Yarrowia lipolytica: one gene and its partner. The protein of the gene in region 1 interacts with the protein of each later gene in a pairwise test. Links are inferred from orthologs where the notes say so. Each region holds a gene or a part of one and is shown on either strand. Other genes may lie near its edges.

Region 1 (11,492 bases):
ACTTCCCACTAAAGGGGAAGTTATCAAATTACCATCTCTTTTGATTTTAGTGGTTTAAAAGGGTTTTATATATATCACATCGATTTCTATCAGAACCTCTAACTGATCATTACACCTATTTTCATCACAACTCTGATCCCAATCAAAGTTCGCTTCATCAACATGCCAAAGGCCACCAGAGGTGAGTAGGGAGAATTCGACAGCGGAAAAAACCAGCCGGTGAGCAGACAACTAACGCAGGCGTTCTGATTGAATGCGATCCCTCCATCAAGGCGCTCATCGTCAACATTGACTCGTCGCAACACAACATCATTTTGGACGAGCTGGATGACACCCATCTCATGATCCACCCCTCCATGGTCGAGGTGGTCAAACAGAAGCTCAACAAGATGCTGGCCGAAAACACATACAACCCCAACGAGGAGGCTGCCAAAGCGACTGGAAAGTAGACAGTCGACGGATTATTTATTCAATAAAATTGCAGACAAAGTGGATGGACCGTTCCTACTCTACACACTGCCTTGCAGTAATACTGTCATAAATGTGGCCTGTTGTACAATACGCGACAATGATACTGTGTATTGCAGCTGTCTACTGTAGTTTACAACGAATACACACCCGTAGTAACTGGTGGTCTATTTTATGTGGTCTTTTTTCTACCGACTCTCTACAAGTCTCCCCCACTCTCCATGTAATTCCTTCATCATGCGTTCAGTCGTATTTACATGTCCACCCTCTAACTTATTGCTCACTAATATACAACTTTTGAATAACGTCTCCAACCCAACTGACGAATCCATCCACCTCCATAAGAGCCTCCAGCTGCTCAGGCTTGCCCCGAGTGACCATCTTACGATGATACTCGTCGTAGTTGCGCACCAACAAGTCCTGGATGGCCTCAATCAGCACATCCGCAGCCTGGGCATCGTCCACATACGACTTAATCTTCGTGTACGACCGCGGAATCTCCGAGGCCGTGTCTTCTCGCAGTTGCCGCGTGTCAGTCACAATGTTCTCCGGTTTGGGGTCCGTCATGATGCTCTTGGCAATGTGGCGCACCTCAGACTCGGTCATGGTGGAGATGGCGTTACGCAGGTTGGCAGAAAGTTCCACACGAGCGTCCATCATGGAGTTAATGACTCGAGGCAGAGAGGCTCGTGCAAGACCAGCAATGCCATCCTTGTCGGTGGTCACACGTCGCTCACGCGCAATCTGGCCCAGAATGCCCAGAGCTCCCGAGAAGTCAAGCTGCTTCTCCTCAGGCACAAACTGAATGTCAAACTCAGCCACCTGTGAGTTGAGCATCAACAGGTTCTTGATAAACCAGAGCTCGGCGTCAGACGGACCCAGGCGCTTCTGAGCCACCACACGTGCAACATTCAACGAAGTGATACAGTCGTGCAACACATTGTGAGCCATGGTATCAAAAACATGCGAGTTGACCAACTGGTATATTTGCGACAGTAAAATCACAGTTCGTCGTAGAGGAGGGTACCAGCCCTGAAGGAGATCATTGGAGATATCGGCGTTAGATTCGTCGCCAACAGAAGAAGAAGCTGTCTTATCATCTTCTTTTTCATTGGTCCTTCTGCTACCAATCAAGAAGTCTCCGTCTCCAGGAACGTAGTTAACAATCTCATGATCAATGATATTTTGGGCCCTGAACACCAACCGTGACTGGACGTCTTGTAGTGCGTTGAAAACCAGGTTGCCAAAGCCATCGTCATCCATACTCTCATCGTCCTGCAGGATGACGGCAATCTCACACAAGACAGAAACAGACCGATCTCGAAGTATTCGAGTTCGAAGCTGGTCATACAGACCCTCAAACAGTCCATCCATCCATTCAGCAAGTCGACCATGGCCCTCGTCGGGGAAGAAATGGTCAAAGAGCCGCTTCTCGTCGCTGAAAATCTGCTTGTACAACGACAGCGCCTTCCGACAGAATTTGACGCTGTCTGTGCCACTGGAGGAGTTAATGTCAAACACAGATTTATCAATGTGAGGTCGCAGGATTGGTTGACGGGCTGCAAAATACTTTTGGTATAGCTCCTGCATCATGGGCTCAATCTGTGGATACTGAGCTCGCTTTGACACCTCAGACACCATTTCTCCCAGGTTAGTGGCCTGCTCAAACTTGCTGTACATGAGAGCATGACTGGCTGCCGACGAAGAAACGGTAGCCATCTTTTCCTGTGCCTCTGCGCCAATATCCGTCACCTTGTTGCCGAAATACACCACCACCAGACGTAAACATCGCACTAAAAGTGCCATGAAGCGCTGCTCATAATCCTCAGCACCCTTGAAGTTGTTGTGCTCGGGGATATAGACAAGCGACTCGTCAATCTGCTGCAGAATGGATCTAAACGCTGGCGTCTTGATGAAGTTGTGACTGCCTCCTGTCACCTGTCTCTGGACAGATTCAATGCGGGTGAACATGTCGAGATTCTGTTGCAGATTACCGATGAGAGTTTCCAAATGTGTCTGTTCGTCCATGAGCGCATTGCATTCGCGTTGGAACTTCTCCGTGTCGTTTTCCACCTTGAGGAATGAAACGGACAGAGTGTCCAACAAGCCAATGATGTCGTTAGTCTGGTCCAGCAGCTTGGAGCACGTCAGCGAGTACGACGTGGCCTGCATGTACATGGTGGTGGCCCTTTGGAGCTGTGGCGTGTTTGTTTCTTGTGATGACGATGCTGATTGTTGTAGGGAGCTGTTTCCGGAAGGAGAAAAGAGCTCTTCCACTTCTCTCCTCGAGAATGGCCATTCTGTGCGCAGTTTCTCAACCTCGGGTCTCTCCAGCGAGCCCACATTGACGCTCTGTGTCCGTCGACGCAAAGGAGGCACCTCCAGCACATCTGTCTGGGTCACTTGGACCACCTTCTCCACGGCCACGGACTGAATGATGCTTTTGGCACGTGATCTCTTCGGGCTTACCGGCTTTGGAGCCGGCTTCGCCGCGTCCATGTATGCCCATTCGTCGTACATCTCTCTTGCTGTGTAACCACGTCTATCCTCCGGGTGTGGGTATGGAGAGCTGTACCACGTATGTCGGATGTGCAAATAGAGTTGCGCGTGTGTTTGGAGTGACATGAGAAGTAGGAGAACAAATGTAGTGGGTAACTGGGTAAAGGAGTTTGAATAACAACAGGTAATTTACATACAAAAAAAGACCAGTCAACCCCTCGGCTTATGTTTCAGTTTCTTCCGAATCAGATCACCGTGGTAGATGGAAGTTCAAGGTGATCCGTTTAGTTGAATATACTTCAGCATAAGCTAAAAGTTTGTTAATGATTTTAGGAAAGTAGAAACTCGACAATGACAGGGGTAAAAGATATGTTATGAGAAATAGAAATGTCAAATTTCAATCACAACCAATTCAAGATCCAGAAATTAAAAATTCAGTTCTAAAATACCACGTTTTAAGCCCCCTATACCTTCACCTCCATTCCACCTCGGAGTTTCACTATCCGCATAAGGTTTTAGTCTCAATATGGAGATCCGGAAACACCATTTCTACGACACGATACATTGTACTTTCGCCACGCTCTACAACATGTCTATTGAGGAATGGAAGAAAACCAAGCTAGTGGGTGTGATTGGCATGGGCGACATGGGCCGTCTGTTTGCTAACCACTGGAACTCTCAGGGCTGGAAAGTGCTGGCCTGTGATCAGGAATCCCACTATGAGAAGCTCAAGGAGGAATTTGCCGATTCGGAGATTGAAATCGTCCAGAATGGCCACTATGTGTCTCGAAAGTGCGATTACATTCTCTACTGCGTCGAGGCCGAGAATATCGGCAAGATTGTCAGCATCTACGGTCCCTCTACAAAGGTCGGTTCCATTGTAGGTGGTCAAACGTCCTGTAAGGCTCCCGAGATGGCTGCGTTCGAGGCACATCTGCCCTCTGACGTGGATATCATCTCGTGCCACTCACTACACGGCCCCAAAGTCAACCCCGAGGGCATGCCTCTGGTGATTATCCGACACAGAAACACCGAGGAGTGGAAGTTCGAGTTTGTGCAGTCACTGCTGGAGTCACTCAAGTCCAAGATTGTCTACCTGTCGGCAGAGCAACACGACAAAATCACTGCCGACACACAGGCTGTGACTCACGCCGCATTTCTGACCATGGGCAAGGCCTGGCAGGCGAACGGACAGTACCCCTGGCAGATAAGCCGTTGGATCGGAGGTCTGGAAAACGCAAAGATGAACATCTCGCTGCGAATCTACTCCAATAAATGGCACGTCTATGCCGGTCTGGCCATCTCAAACCCCGCTGCCAAGGTTCAGATCCAGCAGTACGCATCCAGTGCCGGCGATCTGTACAAACTCATGATCACAGGCAAGGAGCAGGAGTTGCTTGACCGCCTTACGGCTGCCCGAGACTTTGTGTTTGGAGGCCTCAAGAAGGAACACTCGCTGCTGCTGTCCGATGAGATTCTCGAAAAGTTTTCGCTCGGAACCAAACCCCTGGGAGAAACACAAAAGCCGAACTCGCATCTGTCACTGCTGTCCATTGTCGACTCGTGGCACAAACTCAAGATCAACCCCTACGACCACGTCATCTGCTCGACACCTCTGTTCCGAATCTGGCTGGGTGTCACTGAATACGTCTTTTGCACTCCAGGACTGCTCGAACAGTGCATCAAACACTCCATTACTAACCAGGACTTCCGACCCGACGATCTGGAGTTTGTGGTGGCTGCTCGAACGTGGTCTAAGGTCGTTTCTTACGGCTCCTACAAACTGTACGAGCAGGAGTTCAACGACACCCAAAAATACTTTGCTCACATGTTCCCTGAAGCCACTCGAATTGGCAACGAGATGATCAACACCATTCTGTCAACCACTTAAGACACACTTGCAGGTCTAAAAGTTCCTAGAAAACAATAGTTTCAATAATAGAGTGACTATGATGATGATTATTATGAGGATGAGGAGGATGATGATGATACAAAAAGTATTACTTATACAAATCTATTATAGTAGTTTACCACTGTTCTGGTTTTTGTTATATATAGTTAACTGACAGCCATCAAGCTACCGGTACTTGTACTGTCTCTCTATCGTCGCTTGTAAATGCAAGGCTTGAGCAACCACTCGCCCTCAGCCTGCTTCTTTCGTCTCTTCTCGAGCTGCTCGCCGTCCTCGGGTCCCTTCTTTTCCTCCTCATCTCCATAGTCAATGAACTTTCGCTTTGGCACCTTCTTCTTTCGTTGGGCGAGAATCTCTTGGGTGGGTTTGAAGAACTCGAACCGCACAAAGTGCGTGTTTTCGTCGTCTGTGAGCTTGTGGAAGAAGCTGAGGCTCTTGAGCACCTTGATGAACTCGTCGGTCTGGCCGTCGGTGAATCGAGACTTAATCTCGGCGATCCACAGCTCTCCATTGGGCCGCAGAATTCGCATGGCCTCCTTGATGAAGTCCAGGAAGTTGGTTCCCATAAGAGCCAGACAGAAGACGACAATGTCAGCGGAGTTGTCTTCCATGGGCACATTCTTCACATCTGCCACTGTCACTCGCTCGTTGGCCTTCTTCAGATCAAACGACTGGGTCTCGACCACCAGGTTCTTGTTCTGGGGGTTGACGCCCTTCTTCTTGAAGTTGATCTTGCTCAGATCCAGCGCCAGCTGCGCCTCTCCACAGCCCATATCGGCCACCACAATCTTGTTCTCGCGCTTGTGAGCAGGCAGCCCTCCAGGAGAACACACAGGCTTGTTGAGCCTCTCGGTAAACCGCTTGACAAAGGTGTCCACGGGGTTCTCGGGCCAACCCTGCACCTGGTTTCGGAATCCAGCATGATACTCGTCAAAAATCTCGGGGTTGTCGGTAATCATTTTGAGAGCCTCTTCGGAGGGAACAGTATACAGCTGCTCGTTGATCCATCGGAACCGCGATCCGGCCAGCTTCTCTTTCATCTTGAGCTGAAGAGGTGTCAGCTTGGCGGCAGGAGCCTGTGTGAACGCTTCAGCAGGAGGAGCAGCTGGCTTGGAAGCCTCTTCAGTCTCAGAAGCCTTGGCCTTCTTATCCTTCTTATCCTTCTTCTTGTCCTTCTTGCTCTTTTTGTTCTTGCCAGAATCAGCAGCATCCTCAGCAGCAGAAGCCTTCTCAGCAGCTTTAGCGGCCTCAGCCTTGGCCTTGGCATCAGCCTCGGCGGCCTTCTCGTCATCCGCTCGCTCCTTCTCTCGCTGCTCTCGCTTCTCCCGCATCATGACGCCTCGCTCGGCCTGCTGGTCTCGTTTTTCCTTCTGACGCTTGGTCAACTTATCAGCCTTGACATCGTTGGACAGATTCCATCCGTCAACCTGGAACATGAACGACATTGTGTGTGTGTTTAAGTCGGTAACTGGGGTGTGAAATCAGTTTGAAATAATTAATCCAAAATAATTTTTCGAACCCAGATTAAGCTGCATCATTTCTGCAGAGCTGAAAGTGGTTGAAAGAGTGACGGAAATAATGGAGACATTTTCATATAAATTACTTGTTGGAAAATGCAAAGGATTTGTGCACATTGGCAATGTAAACCCGAGTTAACAGGATCTTTCCAATGCCCTAATTACTACATACCGAGGCCCAAATTTACCGCTCAAGTATGATGATGTACTTGCTTGTACCCCCTTCAAGAACCTGAACTGTTCCCCCTTCAAACAGCAATAAAGAACATATCGTAACGATACATAAACCACTCGGAATCCCCAGCACCTCTAATTACCCACGAACTCCAAAATGCTGTACTATTGGCATTAGCGACCCCCCCCCCCCCCCCCCCCCCCCTTTGGCATTATGTTAGGCTGACAATAGTGTAGTATGTACAAGTGCCAACAGCTGTACTTGTAGCTACAAGTAGTACCCGTATGTGTACAATCACTCGCGACGCTCACACCTATGGGTGTGTCATAATAAATCATGTAATGGAACTATATACCGTCTCACGTGCCATTACTGTTCACGAGAGATCCACATATTTACTCTTTCTAGTTCTTGGTCTCGATCTTGACCTCGGTCTCCTTGATCTCGATCTTGGCTCCATCCTCGGCCACCTCCTCGGTCACCTTCTGCTCAACCTCGACAGCAGCCTCCTTAACTTCGTTCTCCTCTCCCTCAATGTAAACTCGTCCCTCCTTTCGGGCCTTGATCATGGCGTCCTTCTTCTTCTGGGCAGCGGCCTTGGCCTCTTCCTTGGCCGCCAGCTCCAGGGCCTCTCGGTCTGCCTCCTGCTGCTTGTGCAGCTCCACCTTCTGTGCAAAGGCCACATCTCGCAGATGGGTCTTCTTGGCCAGCTCCATCTTCTTGTCGTAGTCGGTGACAAAGGGGATGGAGTACTTCTTGAGCTCGCCGGCGGAGACAGGGGTTGCTCCGGCAGCCTCAGCAATGGTCTCGGCCATCTTCTCCCAGAACATGGAGGCGATAGAAATGGTTTCCTCGGAGCCATCAGTTCGAGTGATGGTCACGGTAGGTCCAACGGACTTCTCCTTAGGAGCCTGGACTCGAGACACACTCATGGCGACGGAGGGGTTCCAGAACTGCAGAGTGGGCAGCGAATGGGTCCAGAACAGCTTGGTCTGAGACCGGTTACCAGAGTCCTTGAAACGGAGCTTCAGAGCCGAGACATTGTCGGGCAGCTTGTATGCTCCAGGAGCGGTGACGACCTTGTTGAGCTGGAAAATCTGCTTGTCGACTCCAGTCATGTTCTGGTAGGTCTGACGGAGGTTTTTTGCCAACTGTTTGGACGACATTTTGCTAGTTGTGTGGTCTGAATATGTCAGATCAGGTGCGGTTTCAAGCAGTATTTTGGCTAGGAAATTTGGTGATGAAAACAGGTAGGGTAAGAGATTTAAGGTTACATATAGGAAGTGGTGGTGATATTGAGGGGGCTTTAAGGTGGATGTAGGAACGAAGTGAAGGGTAAGAATATACTTGGAAATGTTGAAAGTGGACCAAAATATCTATGTTTTTTTTTTTCCACATGCTTTTTCTTTGATTTTTGGAGCAGTTTTAAGGATCGTTTACGTAGCAATAAGTTCAAGTACTTCTCAAGTATTCTGTTATAACGTTTACTTAACCCAAATTAGAACACTCCTCCTTCACAAGTGTTTTTAAGTTGTAAGGGTGAGTCCAGGAGGTTATGGGCGTCATTAGGCGACCCGTATTTGGTGTCTCTGTGCACTTAATGGCGTTTGAACAAGATGTATTCAACAACACACCGCGTCCAGATACCTGGGATGCAAATATTTTCTGAGAAAGTCGATATTTGGACAGTTGAATAGACCCTGACTACATGCTGTGAAACAGCCTGCAGGTGCCAACATCAACTTTAACACACACGATTACAGGAAAGACGCGTTGATGGCCAGGTTTGATCTAGACGGTCACCAGTCTAACAGAAGTGGATTTGCCAATTGAGAGGAGATACGACACAGACAGTCCGTGAGAAACAAACTACTCAACGACTAACAACTCAACGATATACATTGCATACACCAACTCTGACTCAACGTTCCACCACGGTAAGCCATTAAGAGACAGACACCGATACCCAGCCACAGACATAACTCTCGACTAGGCCTGACATGTTCCCCTACAAAACCAACCGACGCGGCAGCCGTTCAGGTGACCGCGAAGAAAACCCGTTCGCAAACACCCAAATGTCGCGGTCCAGAAGCTCATCTCTGTATGGTGGAGGAGCACCACGTCCAAACACATCTCACGGGCACAGACCACAGACAGCAGGTCGTCCACACACGTCGCATACCCACTCGACCAGCGTCAACTCATTTCCAGCCTTCAACAACGGATACATGGGCGGTCTTGGATCGGGGTCCCCTGCAGGTGGTAAGCCAGCGTACAAGAGCCATCATCGCTCGTCCACGTTGCGGGACGTGCGTGATTTGGAGCCCGAGACTATTGAGCCTCCCTCTTCGGCGTGGTCGGCGTTAGGAGCTCTCAGAGAACGTATCAGACGTCTCAACATGGAGTCTGAGATGGAGGGAGATGATGAGAACTCCGAAGACTCGGCAGGCACCGAAACGGAACAGGAGGGAGTCTCCAGAGCAGATGGAGACACGTCGTTTGCATCAAACGAGTCCAGCGAATCGTGCGAGTCCATAGAGTCGGAAATGGAGCATCAGAGAGCCCATATACAACAACCTCTGCAAACTCAACACACTGGGCAGTCCACTATGTCCAACTTTGATCACTCGGAGGACATGATTGACATTGAAATGTCGCTGAACCGATTGAAGAATTTGGATGCAGATCTCTACGAGTCCTTGTATACCATGTACGAGGAGATGACTGCCCTGTGCCACTTACCAGGCCAATCTGGCCTCTCAGAAGGCATCTCAAACAATTTAGTGGCTCTTTCCTCCTTCGTCAAGATCCTCGAGAAGAAACTAGAGATCCATGCCATCAAGAGAACCAACCGAAGAAGTGTCATTGGTGTTGTTAGTCCTCAGGGATACAGCTCTAGCAGCCCCTACCAGAGTCCCTACACCCAACAACAGATACCGCCGTCTCAACAACAGCAGTATGCTCCTCAATTCGTGCAGCCCCCCCCACAACATCCGACCACTCCCCGGATGCCCCGGTCGTCGTCGTTGAGATCTGTTACTCCAGCCACGCCCTCAGAACTCGGAACTCCTAGCTACGCTAGACGCCTTGCTGCCCACAATAGACGGCAGAAGAGCATGAGCATGAGCCCAGACTTTTAACGAAGGAGTAGTGGGTGCTTAAAACGAGATCAAGAGGTGATAAAAAAACGGGATTCTGGTATGCCTAGCCGTAGCTATCCAATGACGGCGTTCATACCAACATGTAGAATAATTTATTAGTAATGTACAACCACCTGGTGATTATAGACGGTTGTAGATGCAATTGAGATGTTTCAGCTGGAAGATATGAAACTGTTGCCCATTGGCATTCAGATCATGTCATCAACGTAACATATGAGTAAGTGATTAGGTCAAGGAAATCACACTGCTTCAGTACCGATATCTGACTATCCGAAAGGCTATTGATATTGTCAACATATCTAAACAGTCAAGCAAACATTTCCTTCGTCGTATTTCATGCTTTACATCTTGAAAGTACTCTGTCGTATCACAGCCGTACCATAAGGGCAACAACGACTACTACTCCAACTACGTTCCAGTTCTCCAGCCAGAAGAGCATCCAATACTCGTGGTTCGCACTCGTATTTTGTCTGGTTCAAAATGAGTTACTATATACACTTACTCAAGAGTAATCTTGGCGCCGAGATCCTCAAGCACCTTTTTGATCTTGTCGGCATCCTCCTTGGGGACGGACTCCTTGACCATCTTGGGGGCGGCGTCAACAATCTTCTTGGCGTCGACCAGAGACAGACCGAGCAGGGTCTTGATCTCCTTGATCACCTTAGGCTTGGCCTTGGCATCGTATGACTCCAGCTTGATGTTGAAGATGGTCTTCTCCTCGACGGGCTCGGGGGCGGCCTCCTCGGCAGCAGCGGCAGGTGCAGCGGCGGGGGCGGCTCCGGCGGCGGGGAAAGAGATATCGGGAATGTTGAGTCGGCTCTTGAGCTCGGTCACCAGAGACGAGGTTTCCAGCAGGTTGAGCTGGGCAATCTGGTCGACAATAGCGGTGATCTTGGGGTCCACGGGGGCGGCGGTGGAGTTGAATCTGTGTTAGTTGGAGCTGGGTGGGTTTTTTTGAAGCGTTTCGTCTTCAGATCAGTGCTTTTGTGAGTTGATGACATGATCTGGCTGGTGATCTGGCTTGATTTCAATGTCGAGAAAAACAATCAAGGAGTGAATCTCGCAATTAATACTCACCGAACACCAACTCGAGCCACACGGGCGACTCGAGCAACTCGAAGAGACATTCGAAGAGCAGACATTGTGCGGTTGTATGGGGTTGAGATGGACTCAGTGTAGACGCTGCTGTAGGTGAGTTTTCAAATTTTCAGGGTGCGTGACGGAGGGTTACCCGGCCTTGCTCTTGTACTGTGGTGTCCCAAACCTCCCAATCACTATACTTGTAGTCAGAGGGAGGGGGATTAGAGACGGGAAGAATAGACTCGTGCGCACATTTAGAGTTTGCCATAGAGCTGCAGAACACCATCTTCACTGGGCTTTGAAAAACACACAGCAGACGACAGCTCAGTGTGTGGAACAAGACGGAACCAAAATGACGTCGCGATTTTGTCTCGAGTGGTGAGTGATCAGAGAGAACTAGATAACGAGAGGACGAGAAATGATCGAGGACCAGCGCTAACCCAGCAACAACATGCTCTATCCGAGAGAGGATAAGGAGGATAGAAAGCTGCTGTTTGCATGCCGAAACTGTCCGTACACGGAGTTTGCATCCACTCCTCTGGTGTTCAAGCATCAGCTGATCACCAACATTGAGGAGACGGCCGGAGTGACAACCGGTATTGGAGCAGATCCCACTCTGCCTCGATCCGACAAGGAGTGTCCCAAGTGTCACGAGCACGATGTGGTCTTCTTCCAGTCGC
Region 2 (10,166 bases), on another chromosome or scaffold:
TCCTTCTCCTCATCCCATTCCTCAACGAAGGGCTCAATCTTCTCCTCAACCCACTGTCGGACCTCGTCACGCAGCTTGGCGTGGGACTCCTTGTAGTAGGGGTTGTGGTAGCCGTGGTACCAGTTGGGGTCGGCGTAGGGGACAAGGTCTCCGTAGGGCTCGAGGGCGGTGGTCTTGTTAGGGGCAATCATGGCTCGAGTGGGGTTTGCTTCAGCGTCTTTAAGGGTTCCGATCTTGAACTTGTGTCCAACCTTTCGCATAATCTTGGGGGCGTCGTGGTATTTGTGGAAAAACTTGGTAGCGTCTTTTCCTGCGACTCGTTTGAGAATCTTTTTTCCGCCGGGGTGTTCTTTCTGGAATTCAGTGAGGTCGAAAACGTTACCGTCAATGATGATCCACAGAGATTCGGGAGAGTTGTGCTCCGCAACTTGCTGTCGTTAGCGCTGTATATATACACATGAGTGGTGCAATAGGCTTTAGGCACATTAATGCACATGTACCGAGGGAAGGTTGGAAGGTTGGTTTGTGTGGGGAGGTTATGCAACGTGGCGGCGGTGGTGGCGGTGGCAACACCAAGCGGCGGTGGGTGGGTCAATCGATCGATTGGGTGATTCGTTCGATTGATTGCCGCAGTCCCGGTCCATGTTCACTATCTACCTCAATTCCTATCACACTACCGCAGTGGCTAGTGTGTACCCCAGATGTCACACCACCTAAGGGGCCGAATAGAGTTCATCGGCTTTGGGGGGTTAAGGTTGTTTCTGTGGGGAACGTGATTTTCAGAGCAGTCAGGGCAAGAGACGTTGGAGGCTACCAATTGCTGCAGAACCATTGGTGGTGGGTTCGGCTCAGTTTCCGGAGCTCCGAAAGCGACTCTCCAAGTCTCCCACCTCCTGTTCACCTCACCTGACGTCACTAGCCCACATCCACCGCAATACCTCGGCACATGCAACCAAACCTAAAATTATCCCCAGCACATGTCACATTATGGAGGCAATCTGACCATTGCGGAAAGAAACGGAGCAAGTGGCAGTGGTCGCTGATCGCCGGGAAAGGCCCAGCCTGAGAAAGACAGAGGAAGAGACAAACACAAACACAGACACAAACACAAAGCCTGACTCAGCAAGTGAAAGGGAGAGGGCGATCTAGACCGTCCAATCCGACTGGGAAGAGATGGACGGTCCAGATAGACAGAGCGTCTAGAGAGAGCCGTCTAAGCAATGTGTCTAGGGGCTGTGTCCAAACAATCTGTCTAAACGATCTGTGTAAAACAACCCGTCTAGATGGCATTTTCCCTGGCGGCGGCGCGTGACCAAGTTGCTCTAGAAGCCCTGTCCCAGTTACAAAGCCCGACTCTGAGATCCAGAATCTCTCCTGGCCATCTGTGTCGCCCAACCAATTCCGTTTGTCACCGCTGTCACCACCGTTTGTGTCTGTGTCGATACTGCCATCCCGCTACAACATGTCCCGTCTTCAGACTTGTGTCTGCTGTCGTGACCTGACCTGACCCGACCCCGTTGCACCATCTGCACTCTCACCGCCTCTGGCGCCTCTCTTTACCTCTGCCACGTTCGCCAAAACGTCCGCCAATCTCCCAGATCGCTCATACTCACTTCGGGGGTGTACTGCTCGCTCATGTTGTTGTGCTTCAGGTGTTATACCGTGTGAGTCTGGGGTTCTGGAGTCCGCGTGGGATTTATATCCAACCTAGGCCAAACTAGGTTTTCCCTTGTGTCAGCAAGTGGAGACCGGGCCAATCAGCGGCCAGCCAAAGTAAGATGGGGGCCGAATACTGCGTTTGAGACGCTTCTCCGGTCTACGATAAGGTCTGCCGAATCTGGTGGGGCGGTACGCATCCACATTTAGCCCAAATCTAGGTTCGTTTTGGACCTTTTTTGGTAACGTGATTGTGAGTATGTACGCAGTCTACATTGTAGCATTTGACATGTTGAACAAGTGCGAGTATGGTACATACAGAACTTGCAACTACCGAGTGCAACCACCAAGTACCGTACCGTACACCATCTCATATACATGTGTCTGAGGCTGTTGCAACGGTTCGCTCGATTCTCCATCCCGCCTCGAGCAGGACTAAAGAGCATACCAGGCAAGTCCGGTGTGAAGTAGCAACTTGACCTACTTATGACGGGGTTAGGGTTCCCGCAAGAGGGAGCTGGACGGTGGAGAGTGTGGGCAATTGGTGGAGGTGGCAAAGTCGGTTGGTGTGGGTGACTATGACTACGACGACGATTACGAGTATGAATTCGACTACGACTACAGTACTTGTGGTTATGTGTGTCCTGATCTGTTGGCTGTCGATGCACATACCACATTCATCTGGGGGACATGAACCTCGGCTGTACCTTACAGATGAGGTGCCGAGTGCTTAGTAAGCGGTAGGTGAACTTGTCGGAATGGCCAGAGAGAGGGATGTTGCATTGCAGAGACGGCATTTTATTCCTCAGAAGGTGTTTATTCCTTAGAAGGCGTTTATTCCTCAGAAGGCGTTTATTCCTCAGAAGGCGTTTATTCCTTTAATTCGGCCCTTTCTGTCAATACCGAATCGGACCCACACACTTCCAAAGTGGGGTTTAAACCAGATTTGATAATCGTCTGATCGGAAATCTGAAAAAAGCAAGCGATTCCCCTTGCCATTTTGCGTCGTTTCATCCCATTTCAAGTCCTCTCTGACCCAGATAGACCCGTCCAGCATGCACTCTATCGATGTCGATCTTTTTGCATACGGCTTCTGCATGCCCCGCCCCGCCCCACCAATGGCGAAGTTTTAACCTCACGAAAAACAAATTGCGGTCAATTTGCAGGTCCGAACACGCCACCTGTGGCTCAGTCGCCGCCGCTTGGACTCGTATTTTTGTGGCAGTGCAGAACAAAGTGGCCGAAAATTACACACAAGCCTGGAAGTGTATGGCATAACATTCGGAGGCGTGTTTGAGCGTTGTCGGGTTTGAGGTGTGATCGCATGGCATACTATACAGACACCACTATGCATTAGGAGGTACCCGTGTTGGAGTGTTCGAGGAATGTCAGGCTGTCAGTTTGCTCCATAGCAAAGCCTTCCAGAGTACTGTACTTGTACAGAACCCTTTCAGCCAGTCTGCAGGCGATCGACAACTTGGTGAACGTCTGTCGCGGTCCATTTCGCCAATTCTGACTAAGCCGGTAGTGTCCATGTCCATGATGAAAACGGTGGACAAGAGACATCCCCAAGAGGGTTGGCAGTAATAAATTGGACAATGGCCACGGCTACACGCTTCATATACGAAACGTCAACTAATATTCAACTAACCAACAGCTAATCAACAACTAACCAACAGCTAATCGACAACTAAACAACTATGTTAACTAATTCCCAACTAATCTCAGCTATGTTAACTAATTTTCAACTACAAGCAACTAACCACTTCACATTCAAACGAAAAGTGGATGACATGTGAGACTGTTTGTACACAAGATATGGATGATTGGTTCGGGATCGTTAAATCCAACGCACATCTTTCCTTGTCATTGAAAACCTGCTACTGCACATTGTTGTTCTCGGACTCCGTTCAACGGTCCGGCGATAGGAGCAGTTGTATCAAACGGAAATGTTGCGTTTTGCAACCAAGACGAAAAGTGGCAGATCAGAACGGTCTGGTTCACGTGAACCTTCGACTCCTTGTTTTTGGGCCTCTTGACTGACACAACGTGAATGGCTACTTGTTCTCGTAGTAGTGTATGTATGGTGGTGTACCTACCTATCTACAGCTGAGGACTCCCCAACCGTACATGCCTACATAGCAACGAATGCGCAACATGTCAGGTCACCCATATTCCTTGTTCATGGCTGTGCCTGTTCTGTAACAAAGACCTTTAGTGTCTACTATGGTGTGTTTCGGTTCACTAGTGGTACGTACTGGCACTATAAGTAGATCATGTCGGGTTATTTTTTTGGACTGGTTCTCCCATTTAGGAGAAGCACAGCCAACCCCCCTTTTGGCACTTTGCCGATTTTACCGCCGTTTTACAATTTTGGTAGTGGTTTGGGAACCACTCAGATCCTGTTAGAGAGGACATATTGAGACCAGAAAAGACGCAACGATGGAAACCCCGCGCAAATAAATCGATTTATCCACTCGGAAACCCGATTCCTCCGCTCCCCGCCGTTCCACCCATACATTTCCTGCCCCCCATCTCCTCCAATTAAGCTCACGTGCAACTTTACATGCATCCAAATATGAACACCTCACAGTTCCAACACGCCAGAGTGACACTGTCCGACTCAACCTCCCACAACAACAGCACAGTCCCCAGTTCGCGATGCTCTCTGTGCAGAACCGGACCCAGGAATTCAAAAGCGCGGTCGCGGCGCAGGCGCGGCTGCGGCAAAACGCCGTGCCGGCGCCACAAACCCGATCTGCAAAGTCGCAGTTTGCCCAGGACGCGTCGAAAATCGCCGCCGAAATCGCCGACACCACACAGATGCTGCAACGGCTAGCACAGCTGGCGCAGCGCAAGACGCTGTTCGACGACCGCCCCGTGGAGATCAACGAACTGACGCACGTGATCAAACAGAAGGTGTCGCGGGTTAACGAGCAGCTGACCCAGCTCCAGCAACGGGCCAAGCAGTCGACGGGCCAGAAGCAGACCATGGAGCACTCGAAAAACGTGGTGGTGTTGCTGCAAGAAAAGCTGTCGACAGTCACGGCAGGGTTTGCCGATGTTCTGGAGGAGAGAACTCGAAACATCCAGGCATCCAAATCTCGACATGAACAGTTCATTTCCGCCACGTCGGCTTCCACACAACAAGCGGCTTCCAGCCCGCTCTACGGCTCGGGAACAGCTTCGTCCAACCCTTACGATATGCAGATGCAACAGCAGGATCAACTGAGTGGAGCAGACCCAGAAACATCAGACCTGTTGACCCTCCCCCAGCAGGACACGTTACTGCTTGACCAACAAGACATGTACGTGCAGCAGCGGTCGACAGCCGTGGAGGCCATCGAAAGCACCATCCAAGAACTTGGAGGCATGTTTTCGCAATTGGCCACTATGGTGGCGGAACAGAGAGAAACTGTGGCCCGAATCGACCAGAACACCGATGATATCTCGTTGAACGTGAGTGGAGCGCAGAGAGAACTCATGAAGTACTACGCTCGAATCTCGTCGAATCGGTGGTTGATGGTCAAGGTGTTTGGTATTGTTATTGCGTTTTTCATGTTGTGGGTGTTGATTTCGTAAGGCGGCATGTGAACTAGAGAAGACGAATGGAGCAGGGTTTTTCTCGCCAACATTCCATCTTGGTTTGAGGACTAACAGTTGGTTGAAATGTGGTGAAATGGTGTTTTCTTGGTTGAGTGTTTCACTGAACTCCTCATCTCTCTATCCAGTCTTTTGAAAGAACTCTGTCATACCTCTGTCAACAACATGGACTCGGACGCACAGGTGTGGGTTTGCATATACAACCGGGGCACGGGAGAGGAAGGGCAGGCAGGATACATAGTGGAATAGATGGTGTTTGAATGTGCTGGATGTGTCTGGTATCTGGTTCTTGCAGCCACGCGTGGTGTTAGAAGATGGTCTTGTTGAGGACTGTTTGATAATGTGTCTTTTCAATGGACTTGGTTCGCACCGGGCAACCAACTGGATACTTACAACTCCAATCTTGGTGGTGTTTTGCATTGCAACTGTCAATAGCAATAGCTCATTTCTCTGTCAATGGTGCTGGGAAAGGGTGCTGGACCTCTTCTACACGCCCGTTGGATGGCTCGCTGAGGGTCGCAAAGTCCGTGCGAAATGACCTACTTAGAAAATACCTCCGTAAAGAAGACACCTCAGCTCCTCCGTGGCAACACAGACCTGTTGATCTAGAACAAGTCACCCCAGAGACCTCCCGGAGCCCTCCTGGTTCTGATTCTATGACCCTTCAATATTGTATTTCGGCCTACTTCATGGAGACTACCAGAGCGGGTAAAACAGCTCTCATGTTTAGGATGTTCAACATATAAAAATGTAGCTGCTGATCTCACCATTCTCATGGTACCATCAAAATCTCAGTATCTCATGTAAATATAGAAATACTGCGAAACTTGAAATTTGGACCCCCCCCAACCAGAACCCGATCACGTGACCGTAATACCCTGCCACAACCCTCTATGCGGCTTATTTCCCCATGTTTGGGAGCAGCCCATGCACACACACATATGCACACACATATGCAAGTTACGTTTAAAACCACAGGTGCAGCCTTGATGACTAAGCGCATAATACATTCCACTGTTTCATCTGTGTTTCACGGTCGTGCCGAGGGGAGAGTCCATTGGAGATCACGTGTCCAATACTGGGGCATGTGTGTTGGTCACGTGATCTACAATATTGTGAGATTGGTCGCTTTATTGGGTTTTTCCAGGTGTTTTCAGGTGTATTTTTAACATGTTCGTAGAATCAACCGGATTCTCATCTTTGAAAATTGGAGATTTATTGTGGATTTGTGGATTTTAGCATTTTAAAGGATATCATTGGATTTGTGGCAATGAGGACTATACAATGGTGCCATTTATATCTGTCTCTCATTACTCCTTCCTGTTGTGTTCTCTTTTTTTTATACGACCACCCCTATGATGAGCAGTATGTGAGACAACCATAACACTGTATTTTTTCAGGGGTTTCTGAAAAGCTGAAAAATGATCATTTCTGAATTACGGAATATCTATTCTGGTCAAAATTGTTCAAGGAGTTGTTTCCCGCAGTCAAAATCCTTCTATCTTCTCTCAATGATCCCCTATTATCGAATCGGTTATTTATAAAGTTCTTTTCTGCCGCAGCATTTAAGGTTGCTGGCATGCATGATGTTCAAATATAGGCAATCTTGGAGTATCATTTTATCCGACACTATTACAGCTTGAAAGTGAGTATGGCCCGTCTGCGGGGGTGTTTGCAAGTGTCTGGGGCACGTGTGTGGGTCATGTGATGTACACGTGTCGCGTTGCCGCGTGTTTTTGGCCCCACGCTACCACGACTACCCCTCCTCATCGTCCTTGCTACTAACACAGACGACCCCATGGGTCTGCTAGAAAAGACGCTATTTGCGGAAGGAGAGCCGTTTTCCTACGATGGCAACAACCGGGGCAAGCGCAAACTCCGGCCGATGGACGGGTCGAGTTTGCCGCTTGAAAACACTGACTTTTCGGCCGAAACCCTCGATCGACTAGTTGGAAGGAACGTGGTGTCTCCTGCTTCGGACTATTTCCATCTTGGAGAGAGTGGTGAGGTTTCAGAAGAGGTACGCGCAAGACGGGAGCTTCGGGACCGTAGGCTTGCTGCCGAAGAGGAACGTGAGAGGGGAGCGAGAGCCGCAAGAAAGAGAGCTGAAAAGGAAACCTGGAAGGAGATCGAGCAGAAGTACGGCGAGGGGAAGGAGCCTGTGGTTGGAGATTTGCGGCGGCATGTTTCGAAGGATGAAGACGGAAATGCAAAGGAATATGTCCCCTTTGATGAACCGTCGACTTCAATCATTCCTCCTGAAACCAGTCAGGATGGCAATAAGGATTGCAAGCCTCCGAAGGGGGCGTTTGAGAGAGAGACGCCGTCGTACAAGACTGCGTTGCCTATTGGTGAGTACTACCGAGGAAAAGTGGGACCGTTTGATCTATATGGGTACTGTACTGCATTACCCATACTTAACGGAAGACAGGGCTCAGGCCATGGGACCACTGATTGTAGTTGCCTAGTCACTAACACAGCATCATCATCTACCTCATCCAAATCCCGCACGTCCACGTCACCACCATCACCAACATCTTCTTCGTCATCCAACTCGGATACCAAAGAAACACACCATGGACACCAACACGACTACACATACCACGACACGACATCCAACGATTCGTTCAAGGACGCTCTTGAAGAGCTGGATGAACCCAGTGACGACGGAAGCTTCCAGGAGCCGTCGACAGCAAAAAGCACACACAATTTGCATTCCTGGAAAGATGGAGATACCGACACACTGAGAGGAGAGCATGCTGATATCGGCACAGCAGAAATCAGCACTTTGGGCAAGCCAAACCTTAGCATGGGCCACGTGATGGGCCGAACACACTCGCCGTCCATAGCGTCACGTGACTCATCTGCTTACGTGCAGGAGCCTATCTCTATTGTTGAAGATAGTGCGAGTATCGAGGAGGAAGAAAGTATTACAACCACCCGGTCACGTGTATCTTCCCACTCGCGTGACAAAACTGTGTCTCCCTCGCGCCCAGGGTCTCTATCACGTGTTGCATCACGTGACCGAACGGTTTCTCCAGGTGGATCACGCCCCTCGTCTCCTGTTCGATCAAAATCCCCTCCTCTGCCTGCATTTACATCAGCTCGTCACAAGTCGCCACAACGAGTTCCAACACTGGAGTTGCCCGAGGGCGATGGAGGCAATCAGGTGACTAGACATGAGGACGATGCTGTGATTATTGACGACTCAGAGTCCTCCGTCTCAGAATACGAGGTGGAAGCGGATCTTCCTACGATTGACGCAGCCATGGACTCGTCTGAGGAGCAGCTAGAGAACGACATTGATCATCTCGGGATTGGAGACTCGTCACGACTAGACTTGCCGATCCTGCACTCTCTAGAGTCCCATTTGCTGCCTCATATTGAGGGTCATCATCATCATCATCATCATGGCCATGTTCGCAAGAAGCTGATTCGACGACTGTCCAACAGCCGTAAATCGTCCGAGTCGTCCTTGTCGTCGATTGACTCACGTGACTTTTCCCGTCCCGTCCAGTTCTGCAATGAGGTTGGAGTGCCTGATCCCTCCTGGCAGTCCCACGACGTTTCCGATCCAGAGGAGATTTCAGCTCCCATTTTGCCCCGGTTCGAGAGTCTCAAGAAATCGACCAAGGGTAAGAAGATTGGAGGTGGAAGAAAGGGAAGGAGGAGAGCTGCCATTGAGGAGGAGGCCAACAATGGAGGAGAACGCAGTGAGAAGAGGAGTGTCCTTAGCAGCAGAAGGAACAAGGGTAAGGAGGTGGATGATGGATACGAGTCGACTGCGACAGGTAAGTCTAGAAGACCGTCTGTGGCTACTAATGCGACTCTGTCTCCTTCTTTTGGAGCAGTTTCTGATTTTTCGGATATGGACTCGGATGTTGAAGGTATTTGTGGTTTGGAGAGCGGAATGGCAAGCAGGAACAGATCGTCTGTTAGTGTCAACAGCAAACACGCTAGCCTTCTTAGTAAAGCTAGTGCAAAGTCGAAGGCTGCTAGTTTCAAATCTACCACCGGCAACCCCTCTACTGGTAAACCAGCATACGTGTCAAAGATCATTTCGGAAGAGGAATACATCAACGACTACTATCGGAAAAACTACGGCCACGATGCTCCAAAGGTGGAGGAGCCTGTTGCTGAAGAAACAGGTTTGCACCACGTCAAGTCGACCAAGTCTATTAAAATCGACGAGCCAGAGTCCGTGATTGAGAAACGTCAGTCCCAGGTCGATCCTCTTTACAGACCTAAACCTCTTCCGGAGCCTAGAAAGTCTGGCGAGAGCTCCAGAAGTGTGAAATCGAACAAGTCCGGAAAATCAGGTCTGCCCCACATTTCTCGAGGAGTGGCTATGATGATGACAGGTTTGAGTCCCACGAACTCCACTCCTGCATCGATGAGAGACAGCATCAGCCCGGAGGGGTCGGAAGGCTGGCGGTCACGTGAGTCGCTGGTATCGAGGTCGAGAGCCGCATCACTGGCACCATCCATCAATCGCGATTCATGGTCACGTGCGCCGTCAACGAACCGTGGGTCTGTATCGCGTGCACCATCGCTGTCACGTGATGACTCGCGAACACAATCGTTTATGTCACGTGACCATCCACATCTGTCCCGGCTCAGGTCTTCCTTTCGGCACTCCTCGGATGATTCTTCAGCCTACCCTGCTTCCATGGACTTGAATCTCCCTCAAGGGCGCACAATTTCGAACCCCGATATCAGCATCCATCACCCACTCTTCCACCAGCAACAGCGGCAGCATGAGCTTGAAGATCATGAAGGCGGCTGGTCAGCTACCTGGAGAAGTTGTTTTCGAGGAGTCTGTGTTCCGTGGAATGTTAAGAGATGGCACACGGAAGCAGACTGGAATTCCACATGGGGTATCTCGTGGCCCTGGTCTAGCAAAAAGT

What was found.
Region 2: the proteins of YALI1_F23446g (region 1) and YALI1_C23989g interact in binary tests that used the Saccharomyces cerevisiae proteins (3 or more experiments, as listed by UniProt). The link is inferred for Yarrowia lipolytica from reciprocal best matches to the Saccharomyces cerevisiae genes COG3 and SED5.

What each region holds. Positions count from the first base shown.
Region 1 is NC_090775.1:2,336,237-2,347,728, reverse strand, and holds YALI1_F23446g (uncharacterized protein), read right to left. Parts: upstream 3,094-11,492; coding exon 742-3,093; downstream 1-741. Other genes in the region: YALI1_F23474g (uncharacterized protein), read left to right, coding at 163-181, 241-449; YALI1_F23441g (uncharacterized protein), read left to right, coding at 3,557-4,858; YALI1_F23414g (uncharacterized protein), read right to left, coding at 5,068-6,324; YALI1_F23399g (mitochondrial 54S ribosomal protein mL61), read right to left, coding at 6,976-7,737; YALI1_F23391g (uncharacterized protein), read left to right, coding at 8,572-9,711; YALI1_F23368g (mitochondrial 54S ribosomal protein bL12m), read right to left, coding at 10,231-10,657, 10,810-10,874; YALI1_F23364g (uncharacterized protein), read left to right, coding at 11,165-11,190, 11,257-11,492. UniProt on the Saccharomyces cerevisiae protein: Acts as a component of the peripheral membrane COG complex that is involved in intra-Golgi protein trafficking.
Region 2 is NC_090772.1:2,394,583-2,404,748, forward strand, and holds YALI1_C23989g (uncharacterized protein), read left to right. Parts: upstream 1-4,317; coding exon 4,318-5,238; downstream 5,239-10,166. Other genes in the region: YALI1_C23948g (uncharacterized protein), read right to left, coding at 1-260; YALI1_C23950g (uncharacterized protein), read left to right, coding at 458-910; YALI1_C24016g (uncharacterized protein), read left to right, coding at 7,058-10,166. UniProt on the Saccharomyces cerevisiae protein: Required for vesicular transport between the endoplasmic reticulum and the Golgi complex. Acts as a target organelle soluble NSF attachment protein receptor (t-SNARE).